Linked DNA regions of Neodiprion lecontei. The protein of the gene in region 2 purifies or fractionates together with the protein of the main gene of each other region. This does not show direct contact. Links are inferred from orthologs where the notes say so. Each region holds a gene or a part of one and is shown on either strand. Other genes may lie near its edges.

Region 1 (8,185 bases), on a different chromosome or scaffold from region 2:
GCCCTGTAAGCACCACTCAGCTCTGCACCGCGTACTTCAGCGCGACGGCCGCCGCAATGATAACGGCAATAGGGTGCAAATCTTACTGGCAGAAAAGGGCGAACCCCCTGATGGCCGTGAGTCTGATCGAATTGACTAAATATCCAACTTGGAGAATCGCGAACTCGTAAGAAAACACGAGATCTTATAAAAGCGATCATTTTCAGAGATACGTCCCATTCGCTGCTGTGGCTGCGGCAAACTGCGCGAATATTCCATTGATGAGGCAGGTCGAGATCGCCAACGGAGTTGACGTCTGCGACGATAACGGTAACAAGTTAACGAAATCTAAGGTGAGCACCTACGAAGACTTTAACAACAACCGATTTATCATCTCGATATTGATACCGTTAGACCGCGAATACGTCAAGTTAATCATGGATATTCAAGTACGTTTAATTACAGATCGCTGCAGTCAAGGGTATCAGTCAAGTAACTTTTTCAAGGATCGTTATGTGCGCCCCAGGAATGCGTGAGTAACGTATGCAATAGAAATTTTCAATTTCTAATTGTCTGACAACGTTATCTCAATTATTTCTTTATACAGTGATTCTTCCGCCAATTATGGCGAAGCTGGAAACGTACGGCTGGATGCAGAGGATTAAACCACTTCATGCACCAATTCAAATTATGCTAGTCGGATGTTTGTGAGTAGATGCATACGCACAAATATCTCATCAACGTTATGGAAAGTATTTATTCTGTGACTTTATTTTTTAGCCTAACATTCATGGTACCAACTGCTTGCGCTCTGTTCCCGCAAAACTGGTGAGTTCAAGTTTCATCATACCGTGACGTTTTACGTGAATTATGTTATTTTTTTAGAAAATGGAAACAGAAAAAAGAAAACGATTCCTTTTGCTTTTTACAGCTCCATTGCCGTGAGCACTATTCAAAAGTGGGAGCCAGAAAACTACGAGATTTTGAAGAAGAATTGCAAAGACGGAAATGTACCAAAGTTCCTGTACTTTAATAAGGGGTTATAAGTATTTTCATCGGCGTATCGACGTAGCCACGTGGAAACGGAATGGTGCTTTCCGTTGCATCTTCGTTACGAATCAAGCGAAATTGCTTGAAAGTAAAATGAATGGATAATAATATAGAAACGCGGAATCTCATAAAATATATACCATAATATGCCATGAAAAATTATTTAGGCAAATGGGGACTGGAAACCGAAGTTCTTTACTATTTCAAGAAAATTAAATTTATTTAATACCGAGTTGATAATGTTGGTGATAATACTCAGATTAGGTTATGCAGATCATATGAAAAATATTAATGCAGTAGTAAGATAGGGGCGATGATTATTTAGCAATAATTGATGGTTATCATCTACAGAGATGACGAAACGTATTAGTTGGCAATACTAAAATATCAGCTGTGATTATTTTCTCATCTATTCGTCACTCATTATGGAGTACAATATGCCTATGCATTGGCAAATTTCCCATTCAACATTTGTAATATCAAACGCCAAATACCTGTACAGATAAAAGTATACGTACGTTATTAATAGTCATTTAAATAAACGCGTTTGACCATAATTACACGCATTATTCTTAGCATTCTTTTATCCCTGTGATTGAAGAAGATAGTTTTGCAAAACAAACTACTCATTATGAGCCAAGATAATTAACTTCAAGATTTATGCCAATGGTGTAAAAAGTTTAATTTGATAAAACCGTATTTGTAAAGTAATATATAGACATGCTGCACAAATTCATTATATATTAGGACGAGCAAGTGAGGGAGCTTGCGACGGTGGTGGAACGTAACCAATACGCTCCTGTAACTCAGTTGGTGGAATTTTGCCCCAAGCTGGCGGATTGAATCCTGGCTGCTTCTCCGCCTCCTTTTTATTTTCCCGTTCTTTCCTTATAGCCTCGAATTCCAGCAAATCATCGAGCTTCAGGTCGATCCGTGTTGGGCTACGTCGAATCATTTTGTTCTACCTAACAAAAAATATGTATGCCTGTGCCTCTAAGATTGGTATCTTGACTATCATTCATGTAGCTGATTCTTCGCGCGAGTTTAATGAATTTTTACTTCAGGGATAAAGAATTGATCAGAACGTAGTCAAGGCATTTTGAACAATGCAATCACGGGGTTCTAAGTAACGACGAATACGACCCTGAATCTATCCGCCCCTGATATCCTGACTCGTGTTTTTCAAGATGGAGGTCAGGATCCGACGGACAGACAAGATCTGCGCTTCGTCGCTAGGCAGAGATATATTAACAGTGAATATTTTTTTTACGTCTGTAAAATTGATGAAGGGAAGCCACCGGCAGATTGAAAAAGAATCAATATAATCGTTGGCAGAAATAGTGATGAATCGCTTATCCTACAAGAATAAATAAAATTACCAGTATGAATGGGTGAATGTTTTTGGGTGCAGCACGCAATCAAGTCGCCGTAAACACGCTTCCCGTCGACTGCTGAGATATAATAAATTTCCGAGTCCGTGGTCAGCACCTCAGTTTCGAAAATAGTAAAACAACCGTAGACCCAGGATCCAGGAACTGTACGTCGGCTCGAAAGGATGCTGTATCTTGAAGATTACGTCGAAAGTACGTAAAATCGGAGACGACAGCACAAGCCCGAACTTACAAGGGACCTACTAACCTTAACGAAGGCATTCGGCCTCGACGAGCCTCACAAATATCCTCGTAAAAATTAAGATCCCATCAATATCGCGTTGTAGTTTCGCGTGTTCGTTATTCATGGAAAATTTTCGTCTTCTTTTAGCCCGACATCGACACCGTCATCTTATTTGATTGTATTAGACGTGAATTATTTAGCCTTTTGTAGGTTAGGCTGATGTTATTCGGACGTTTAGTACATCAAGCCAATCTCACTACCCACAAGTTTTGCACTACTATTAATTCCGACAATGTATCAGGGATGTTTCAGTCCCGTATAAATTGATTTCTTGCCTCCAACTTTGCTTTTCATACAATATTCATCCGTTTTATTTGAACCACCGTTTGGTTATGTTGCCTCGAAACTCCAACTCCGCTTACTTTTTCTAGTGATCGAACATCTTCCGCAGGAGCTGCGCGACAGATTCACTGAGATGAGAGAAATGGACCTGGGAGTGCAAAGTATACTATTTTATTTTCTATATTACTCAGGGTTCGTACGCACCAGGAAAATATGGAAGGAAAAGTTAGAGACTTTTGAAAACAAGACTGGAATTTTGAGTCTGTCGAAGGACTAAGCTCGTTCTTGTACAAAGTACTACTAATCTTGAGACAAAATAATTGCGCTTAAAATTTTGTTTCCTTGCACCACTTCGTACATTCTATATATATATTACTTGATACCAAACCGTTTTTCATTTTCTTCTTATGGAAAATTGCAGGCTGTTGTTTGTAAATTGATAGTCAGAAAGTAAGATAGTTACTAGGTCATATTGAAGGTATTAGTATTAATTTGTAAAAATATTGTCATTAATCAGTGTCTTTTTTGTTGAAAGGTTACTGGAAAATTCCTATTTTCAAGCAGGAATACCTGGAAAAGTCAGGGAATTTCATATTCCAAAAAGCGTACAAACCCTGTTACTCTGCGTGTCATAATGTAAAAGATTATGGGATACAGCGCAAGAACCGAGTCATTCTACCACGATTGTCTTCGTAGTTTCAATAATCTGTTGTAAACTTTGTAGACTCGATGGATAGCCTGGAGAAAAAGGTGAAAACCTTCTTTTCAAACGCCAAGAAAATGAAGCCAAGTGACAAGGAGGCGGAATATGAAACGATACGAAAAGACTATTACAAAACTTTAGAAGATGCCGATGAAAAAGTGCACTTAGCTAATCAGATGTACGATTTGGTGGATAGATACTTGAGGCGACTTGACCAAGAGCTTCATAAATTTAAAATGGAACTTGAGGCTGACAACAAAGGAATTACAGAAATATTAGAAAAACGATCCTTAGAATTGGATCAACCGCCAACCAACAGTAGTCAAAAAGAGAATCGTTATAGTTTTACTTCTACTAGAACTCGGGACAGTCACGGACATTGTGAGTGTAAATCGTCAATTATGGACGTCAATAATGATACAGTAGCGCTCGAAACTATTTTGATAATATGAAATTTGTAACTTCTTTGATCAATCGTTTTTCTTACTTTTCTTTGTTTTCACTTTATTTTTGAGCAATCGAGAGTTAATTTTTAACAGTTATGTAGAACATCGAATTTCTTTCGACCAATAATATTATTTATTTTTGTAGTTTTTACTTGTATGTAATTAACTGAATTACTATCTTTGTCAAAATACTTTTGAGCGCTACTGTATATTCTCAATTTCTAAATCGAATTTCAAAAACATGTCAGCTGCAGAATATTCACATTTCACTTTACTGTTCAAATTATCATATTTTCTTAAAATTGCTACGTCTGTTTGGAAACTTGAAAAAAATAAAATGAGTTGTGAACCAGGTCATCTGATTCAAAACAGTTTACAATGATGATAGTTTATATTTTATCTAGCGAAAGTTCAAAACTTCGTCACAATCACAGAGAAATCTTGCTAAGAAAACGTGCAATGAACCAATTTTACTTGGACTCCCCTTAGCTACCGGGACTCAAGGGCTAACAGATTATAAATTATCCCCAATGATACTTTCAAGTACTTGTGATCTGCTGTCATAAACGGTTCTTCAAGTAAATTTCTGTTCAATCTGGTATTTATTGATACTTTTAATTGCAGCACGGTCAGAGAAACGGAGAGACTCCAACGCGTCCTCGGTATCGGTAGAAAAACGATTAGTGATTGAAAAATCGTCGCAAAGTCTTCCAGAATCACGACCAGCCTCGGCAAATTCTGGTCCAATAATTGCAACTACTCTGCCATCCGCGCCGACGGCAATAGCTAGTACAGTTGGTCCGGTCAATTACGGTTTAGGGCATATTGGCGCTGGTGGTAACGCGATAGCTGCTGCTGCATCGCAGGCAATTGCTGCAACGCAACAAATGCAGCAGGGACGGCGAACCGCCAGTCTTAAGGCGAGCTATGAAGCCATCAATACCGGAGGTGTTCACGCGGCTGAATTTAGTAGGGAATTAGCTGGTGCTGCACAGACTGCTATAGCTGCGATTCAAGAAACCACCAAGAAACATAAAAAGTATGTATACTTTGAAAGAGAAGAATTCAATTGGCCAAATAAGACTTCGGGGTACAATGATCAAAGAAAACCAGATTTTCCTGTATTTTTATCTCCACCGACAGAACTCACTAGTGTTTCTTCGCTTGCAGAAAAGTTAATACTACAGTACCTAGTACCAGTGTGATACCAGCGGCAGTTCAACAACCCGTCTCTCCACCTGGAGTAACGGCTACAGCAGCAGTGACAGATGCAGATAATACAGATTGGCCGTACGACCCGAACGAGCCGAGATATTGCATATGCAATCAAGTGTCTTACGGCGACATGGTTGCTTGCGATAACCAGGATGTGAGTATCAAGCGTTAAGATGCTTACATTTGCTCTATGTATTATTTATAAAAACAGATGCAGTACGCAGGGTTTTCCTCCCATATTTACTTCGATTGATAATTATTTGCAACATTTGTTTCAGTGTCCGTTTGAATGGTTTCATTACCCGTGTGTCGGAATTTCTGCGCCACCGAAAGGAAAATGGTATTGTCCGCAGTGTACGTCTTCTATGAAGAGGCGCGGTGGTCGGAAAAATTAATGAGGAAAGATATTTTTTTGAAATATAAACACTAAGGATAAGGAAAAGTAAAAACAAAAACCGTAAAAAAATGAATACTACCTCTTAGCTACTATCTGCCGATTTATTATCATCAATTTACATAGAACAGTCGACGCGAATCTGATGTTAGGTTTTTTTGTTTTTTATAACTATAGAATATGAATTTTCAAGTTTAAGTTTTGCTCTTGTATAGCGCAAAACCTGATTCGAGTCATAAACTCGTGTTTTATAAATGTGAGGGATATAATAGCTTAGTTTGAGAAGTACCTAATTAAACTGCGTGGCATTCGTTTTTTTCCACACGCCGCGTTTTTACCTGGGGATTATCTTGCAGTTAAAAAAAAAGATGAGAAAAACGAACAATAAGAAGAAAAAGTAAACTCTCTCAACATTGGCGAAAAATGTTTTTTTACCTCAGATATTACGTTCAACGGTCCCCATAAGTTCATTCGTTTGTAACCTTATTGTGACCTTGTCTCTCTCTCTCTCTTTAAACGATCTTGATGTGTTTCGTATAGAATTTGTGACCGTGGTCAAGCTTAGCCAATGTTGTATCGATCTTTCGATCGTTACAAGTTCAGTAAACAATGAAAAACATACCAACTATATAAGTGTTATGTGCTTTCAAAAAATAAGGAAACGGAAATGAAAGAAACGAAAAAAATTTCACGAAACTAAAACGACTAAAAAAATGTTTTAAATCTATAAATAAATGTAGCAAACATAATAATGTGTAATAAGATGTGTGATGCGATGGCACGATTTGTCGGAATCGCCTCATTATGAACGGTACAACTCCTGTCATTGTAGATAATTGTAGGTCCATATCGTCAGTCGGTGGCAGAGCTCAAACTCACGAACAAATGGGGAGGAAAGCTTTGGAGTTGAGATGGCGTAGAAGGGTTGTAGCGAGAAAGACACTCATTCGTTCATCACTTCAACAATCCCTGGTTCCAATTTCTCACAAAGATAGAAGTTGTACTGTACATTATTCCGTTTCTCTTAATTATCTTACCGTCCTCAGTCGTAAAATAATAAAAGAGACGATCGGTCAATTGTGGTACATTAACAGGCCAAACTGTCATTAGCAAATCCAAAAGTATAAACAAATTTGCATATAATCATCTGGAATTTGTTTTAACGGAGATTGGTGCAAGGAGATTAGAAAAAGAGAACAGAAAAAAATCATGTAAATTCAAGAAGAACACAGGCTGACTACTATTTCCGTAGGACTAGGACTATGAACATAATAAATGTAATATCTTGACGTGTAATAAATTGAACGAAAAAACGGCAATTATTTAGACTGTGTGTTAACATTAATATCCCCATCTTCCTGTGCAGTATTGTATTATGTCCCAGGTGAGCCCATATCACACGACTCCCTTGACATGAAAATTTGGTACTTGACAAAGGAATTTTCAGAAATTTAGGAATGTTTGAAATTTAATAAACCATGATAAATAAAATGTACTCATATTTTGCAAAGCCAATTTTACATCGAAAATTATTCTAAAAATGCGCAATAATAATTTTTTCTCTGATCTTTCGTTACGTCAACATTACTAACTTCAGCCTCATGTTTTCATTGGATATTCCCCCTCCGCCCTCGACGTTTCAAATTTAAGGTAGGCCTAACTAGCGTATACCTAATCTGACGAAATCGAGAGTTGTATTGCGATGGAGCAGAAATAGTTGACATACAAACTGAGGAGTATCAATTCCGTAATCAAAAATGCGTAAGATATGATTCTTACATATAACACGGGAGGCAGATTAAACCCGACGTACATACAAAACACCAAACGAAAGAAATGCGTGACCGCCGGTGTCTGCATCCATCGAGGGATTGCGTAGGTGTACATCGATAAGAGTGTGTATAACACGCACAGTGAAATTCGAGATGCTTTCCTACATGCTTACAGGCACAATAATTATGTGTAATAATTGTCAGATTACCTTCGGAAGGTGCAGGATGACGAGCAGGCATACGATCCGTGTTGCACAACGCACGATATTATCACCGAGGCACAAGTCACAAACACTGTCGCAAGGACGTTGAAGCCGTTTAAACACATAACAACAGCGTCGCTTCAACTTCTTATGTCGATACGCGGACCGCGGTCATCGCGCCGAGTGACCGAAAATAACGTCGGACTAGGTACGAGAGCGGTACCTAGGTGTAAGTGATACACCGCGAGATGCTGACAATGGCTCGGAAGCATGTACGTCGCGTAATTAACCCATCCCAGCGACCGGCGCGATTCTCGTCCCTGTTTTCACTTGCGAGACTGACCACAAACGCGTTCTTCGTAGTTCGATCATATTGAAGTTAGTTACGTTATCGTGACGATTCCGTACTAGGGAAAAGCCGTTATTTCGCGATTATACGATTGCCTGAAATTCAGTAAACCGATCAA
Region 2 (5,665 bases):
CTGACAATAGGAATTGCTTCAGATTGGAGGGAGAGACCACGCGAGGTTTCCTTGTTTGCATAAGTCTATGAATCCACTCTCAGGCTCAATACCACAAGCACTTATAGCTTAAGGCAAAAACACTACTTTATAAAATTTCTGATGCGGCTATTCGTGTGTGGCCAAGATTGTCCTCCTTTCAACTCTACCTCTCATGTTGGAAGTGGCGTAGACTCTACTGCGGAATTGAAGTTTACCGTTAATTATGCGAAGAAAAATTAATTGGATATTATATGTAATAAGTGTCGTTATATCCGTAATTGCTTACTATCTAATGGTCTGCTCAATTACTACTGATTACAAGAGAGAGTTCAGAATATTTGTATATATAAGCAACGGAAGTATTTCACCATTCATCGCTGATATCTTTCGCTTGATCACTTATTGGCACCTGAATTCCATGCAACTAAACTGCATTGGTGTATACTGTATAAAGCATGGCTTACGTACGGACAATTGTGGCGCATAATTTTGCATTAACAAGGAAAAGAAGGAGGAGAAAATGAAGGAGAAAAAGTAGTATACATGTACGTATAATCAATGGTGTTAGGCACAAGTAGTTCTTGGCTTTAAATATTTACATCGCAGTATACGAAAAGAATAACTGTGATATTTTGAACAGTTCGTCAGATTGCAATCAAGGTGCAGGAAAGTTGATCGCGATGCCTTGAATGAATACAAATTTTCTTTGGCGTTATGTTAGATTCAAGAGAGCTGCCGAAACTTTATACGTTGACTTTATGCTGCCGATTATTTGAGGAGTTTTATTGCATGGATTGGCGCTACTTTAATGAATGTTCAAAAGGTTCTTGTAATAAAGAATATTCTGTTCTTATTCAAGTTTGGCCCTGATGATCGCAAGAATTCCTCATTTACGTATACATTTACAATAGTCAGTTATGTACACGTATATAGGCTGCAGGGTTGTTCAACTCGACGTTGTTTCAAACGTTCAGGTTTATGCTTCCCGCGTTGCTTCAGTTGAAAAGATTGAAGCAGCGGACCGCGTCTAGTCATCATCGCTCTCTACCTTTTTCCGCTCCCTTTTGACGGTCTCGCGAACCTGTCTACTTCTGTCTGCACCTCCTACTTCTCTGCCGCTAATTATTTCCGTTATTACGGTAGCAGCTATCTTAATCACAACCATATTTGACGAAATCGGACTCCGCATGAACTACAATTTTTTTACCATGTTTTCATCTGCCGATACATTGATGAACAACAATAATTTGCCGTTTTCATTATTTCGCTAAAATGTGTGAATCCCAGGAGCATGATTCTGACTTATTTTGTATTCGTGAAAGGAAGATTTTCCGTTTAAAGCTGCTGTCTGATTGCTTCAGATGGCACTTATCACTGCTTTCGCGAGTTAAAAATAAGTCAGAATCGGAGTACTGGTATAGCACTAAGTACAATAAGCATAGTGATCTTTAACTGAAGAGGACTTTTAGACGCTAAATAAGAATCCCGGAATTTCTCGGCAGTAGTCACTAGACTCAATCTTACACAGGCATTGTGAAAATGCCGGTACCTGCAGCTGGAGAAAAGGAGATTATTAATATATTAAAAATTTGTCAGAAATATATATCCGTATTGGAGCAACTGCTCGGTTTGGTCAGGCTTGTTTTACCTTCAGACCGTAATAAAGCGACCGTCGATCAGCAATATTTTTCCGGTCTGTATCCCAATCTGTGTCCTGCATCAGATCAGATATATGATGTATGGCGATTGTATAGTGATTCATAGGTATGTGTAGTGAAGCTATGCTTAGGCAAATGAAATTACACAAGAAACTTTTCCCAGAGAGATTTATCCATGCTCTAGCACCTGAGAGCACTTGACGCAAGCGTAAGTATCAATCTGGCTAATATTCGTTTTCGTTTACCCCTCCGTCAGCATATGTCGCAGCTGATGCATACATGGAAATCCGGCATAATTTTGCGAATTGAGGATCAGCCCGAGAGATGGCGCAAAGTATCTCCAGAACAACAACTATTTGACCGCAACTTGCTTAGACCATAGAGAACGAACTGTGCATTGCCTATGGTACGGCTTGCTGCCCAGTAAAGCAAAAGAGACGGACGACGCTATATCATTTGTAGAAGAGAGACGAAATGCTCTATTACAGAGTAAACGTTGCCGCGTTCAACAGCACCGTTGCTATGTTAGGATTCCATACCCTATGTTAAATAAGTCAACAGAATAATAATATTGACTATAAGGAATCATAATCGCAATGTAATAAATATTACTGTGAATTTTGTTGTGATCAAATAAGTAAAAAAATGAAATGAAATGAAATATTGCTGGGCTCTTAATTGTAAAGAAGCGGTCGATAAAAAACGCGTGTCACCTTTTATACGTATGTATGACAGTATTTACATTTCGGTTTTTTCAAATATCAATGTTATTGAGGTTATCTCAATTTCACTGGCATATACATTTTTTAAGGTAACTTAAAAAATTCATTTTTCACATAATTAAACAGCATGATTTTAGGCATGCCGAGAGTGAATTGCACAGCTAGAGCGTATCAAAATACGCGCTTTTTTCAGAGCCTACATTTCAAGAATTACCATGTAGTACGTACAAGGCTTATTCGTGCGCGCGTGTATATCGATATGACTATCCTAGTTCTTTACTCGGTAGTACCCCCACTACTCCAATGTCCAGTTGATTCTGTATGGTCTAAGGGAACGATGCGATTGGTTCTCAATGCGGGGCCTACTCGCTGTGAGTCACCCACTGAAATGAGTCACCTGTAGGTAAAGCAAGCGTCCGACCCGATACTTGATTTAGAAAACTACAGAAGACGAGTGAAGTTTGTTGTGCGAGTTAGGTTAGGTTCCGTTGAATTGGCCTATTTCCACGCTATTTCGCATTTAAGTGATATATACCACACGATAGAGGCCAACCTCACGCGATGGCTGTCAAGGAAAAACAAGTTGACCACACGGAGGAAATAGAGTGGAATGTTGACAATGAAATACAATTATTTTTTGCCATGAACGGTCACAAGCCAGTAGGTAAGATATTCATTTTTACAAAATACACGATACAATGAAGAAATCAGATTCTCGTGCGGAACTAATTTTGAGGTTAGCTTATGTACAGAAATCTGAATTACAGGTATCAACAAATATTTCCACATGGTCTGTATCTGGGAAAAATTTCGCGCTGCAATACACAAAGATATTTCGTTGAAAGTTGTTTGGAGCCATCTGGAATCAATGTACGACTTAGCAGCACTGGTGAGTTTACTGGTGATTTATTTCATTGATCCCTCGTCAAATTAAATTTGAATAAAATGTATAACACTACAAAAGTTCAGTTTTTCGTTACTAGTCCTAAAAATTTTAAATAAAAATTTTGATCAATTACGTTTCAGGATGATATGGAAGATCTTCCGTTTCCGAGCAATGAGACTGATTTTGCACTTCCGGAGTCGGAGTTTTCTTCTTTGATGAAATTGAGAAAGAAGGAAGAATTAGATGTAAAAAGTAAAGAAGTCCAACCAAAGGAGAAACAGAAGGAAATGAGGAAGGATAAAGATTCTAAAGATATTGTGAAGAAAGATATTCCTCCTCCCAAAGAAGTTAAAGGTAGTAAAGAACCAGACAGGAAAAAGGAAGAGCCAAAAAAGCCTACCAGAGAAATGGATATGAAGAAAGACAAGCTTCGCGACTCCAAGGATATAAAAAAGGAGCAACACAAATCTTCCAAAGGACGTCCCAAAGGAAAGGACGATGATGAAACAGGTGGGATTGCAGATTGTTTAGCCAAATTATACTTTTGTTTTAAAGGAAATATAATTATTTTCTAACATTGAACAAGAATCATTAATGCCAAGCACTTATTATATGGTGTTCCAATAGCTGTCACCTAATTCGTACATATTGTGTAATGCGCCGATCTTTTGCAGCTTCGGCCGGCAAAAAGGAAAGGAAAGATTCTGAATCAAGCCGTGATGGTCCAAAGCGAGGTGTCAAAAGACCGACAAGACAAAGTGTAGATAATACATCAAAAGCGTCGTCAAGCCCACGAGATACACCACCGCCAAAGCGACGTAGAATATAACAATCTGGATATTTTAGGTGGTATATATATCCAATTTTATCCCCATGATGTAAACATAAACGAATTGCCTACGAGTTAGGCAAAGCTTGCAGTACATATAATTGAAGCTTTTGAGGGGAGAACAGATGAATTCTTCTTTTTAAATGAACAGCTTAACATAAATCATAAATCACACCCTATCTTTACTTGGTTAGATTTAACAACGTACCATGTAAATACATGTAATGCAAAGCTTGCATTACATGTATTTGAATGTTTTGAAGGGAGAAAAGATGAATTATTCCTTTGAAACAAACAGTTAAAACATTATAAATCAAATCACATTGTATCTTTACCTAGTTAGATTTAACAATGTACCATGTAAATATTAGCTTGCATTACATGTATTTGAAAGTTTTGAACAGAGAACAGATGAATTCTTGCTTTAAGACGTACAGCCAAAACATAAATCATAAATCGAACCGTATCTTTATCTGGTTAGATTTAATAATGTACCATGTAAATAAAAGTACTACACTTTTTTATAAAAATGTATTGTACATTGACTCAACATCATACCTGTCCCTAACCATCAATGTTGGCTATTGATACTTGTACTCGCAATCAAATGGAAATATTTCACATCACTTTACACAAAATTTATGAATGAGTGTGCCGTCAGCTTCAAGTATCATTAGATTAGGTCCAAGCTTGGTACAATAGAAAGTGTTACAACTGAAATTTGACACCGATCACAGAAATGGTCAAGATAACAATACTTATCTGAAATAGTAAATCCTCGTCTTCTGATTTTTGCTGATGTATTACGTTGAAATTTTATGAATCGGGTGACTTTTTCAAAAGTAAAGTAACGGTTGAATGTTTAGCAATATTTTCAGGTTTTTTTTTGGTATGCTACACTCTGCTTGGATGTGCACAGGGCCTATCTTTGACACTTGTATGAAGTAGGAAAAATGATTCACAGGACCATTACAGGATAGTTATGATTAATATATCACGGTATTATCGTATTTGAAGCCTCAGATAATTGTAAACACAAATTTAAACTACGCTCTTACTCGTTGTCAGGCACGTATATTGAATGTTGTAAACAATGACAGACCGAGGACGTGAATGGAATGAAGGTTAAGACACGCTTATGCTAGCTAGGTTGGATTTTTGGCAGGTTAGAGCGGGTCTCACCGCATTGAATTGCGCATAAGAAAGAATTTTACCTCATATGGAATTAGCTTAGTTGGTTGTGAAGTTCAAATACAGTCATAAAAATTTGTGGTTGCCAGCGAAAGATTTATTACATGTTGGGTTGGTTTGGTACAGCAAATCGAAGAATTTCAAACGGATCGGACGCCATGGTACAAAAGTGGTTGGTTTCCAATTTGGCGAGCCCAACTTCGGTGAAATGGAATACTTCTTCTTGCAGGAACCTTTTCAGTTATTCTCCATGGGTCAGAACAGTTCTATCGAAGCCTTCTAGCTTCGCGCTCGGACTCGAGGAGGGTCAGGATGTCGCCCTCACGGACCGGCCCTTTCACGTTGCGGATTATCTGAC

The links.
Region 1: the proteins of MRG/MORF4L-binding protein (region 2) and inhibitor of growth protein 3 purify together in Homo sapiens (co-immunoprecipitation; 4 studies listed by BioGRID and IntAct, counting the BioPlex papers as one, with this or other methods). This does not show direct contact. The link is inferred for Neodiprion lecontei from reciprocal best matches to the Homo sapiens genes MRGBP and ING3.

The regions. Positions count from the first base shown.
Region 1 is NC_060265.1:31,030,880-31,039,064, reverse strand, and holds inhibitor of growth protein 3, read left to right. Parts: upstream 1-2,474; 5' UTR 2,475-2,584; coding exon 2,585-2,612; intron 2,613-3,074; coding exon 3,075-3,146; intron 3,147-3,520; exon of another isoform or gene 3,521-3,709; coding exon 3,710-4,069; intron 4,070-4,758; coding exon 4,759-5,173; intron 5,174-5,304; coding exon 5,305-5,503; intron 5,504-5,627; coding exon 5,628-5,744; 3' UTR 5,745-7,071; downstream 7,072-8,185. Other genes in the region: sideroflexin-2, read left to right, coding at 1-116, 207-332, 445-511, 587-686, 760-807, 911-1,025. UniProt on the Homo sapiens protein: Component of the NuA4 histone acetyltransferase (HAT) complex which is involved in transcriptional activation of select genes principally by acetylation of nucleosomal histones H4 and H2A.
Region 2 is NC_060262.1:41,133,941-41,139,605, reverse strand, and holds MRG/MORF4L-binding protein, read left to right. Parts: upstream 1-2,138; 5' UTR 2,139-2,401; intron 2,402-2,453; exon of another isoform or gene 2,454-2,688; 5' UTR 2,689-2,962; coding exon 2,963-3,065; intron 3,066-3,153; exon of another isoform or gene 3,154-3,168; coding exon 3,169-3,290; intron 3,291-3,427; coding exon 3,428-3,797; intron 3,798-3,961; coding exon 3,962-4,116; 3' UTR 4,117-4,233; downstream 4,234-5,665. Other genes in the region: 40S ribosomal protein S28, read right to left, coding at 5,574-5,665.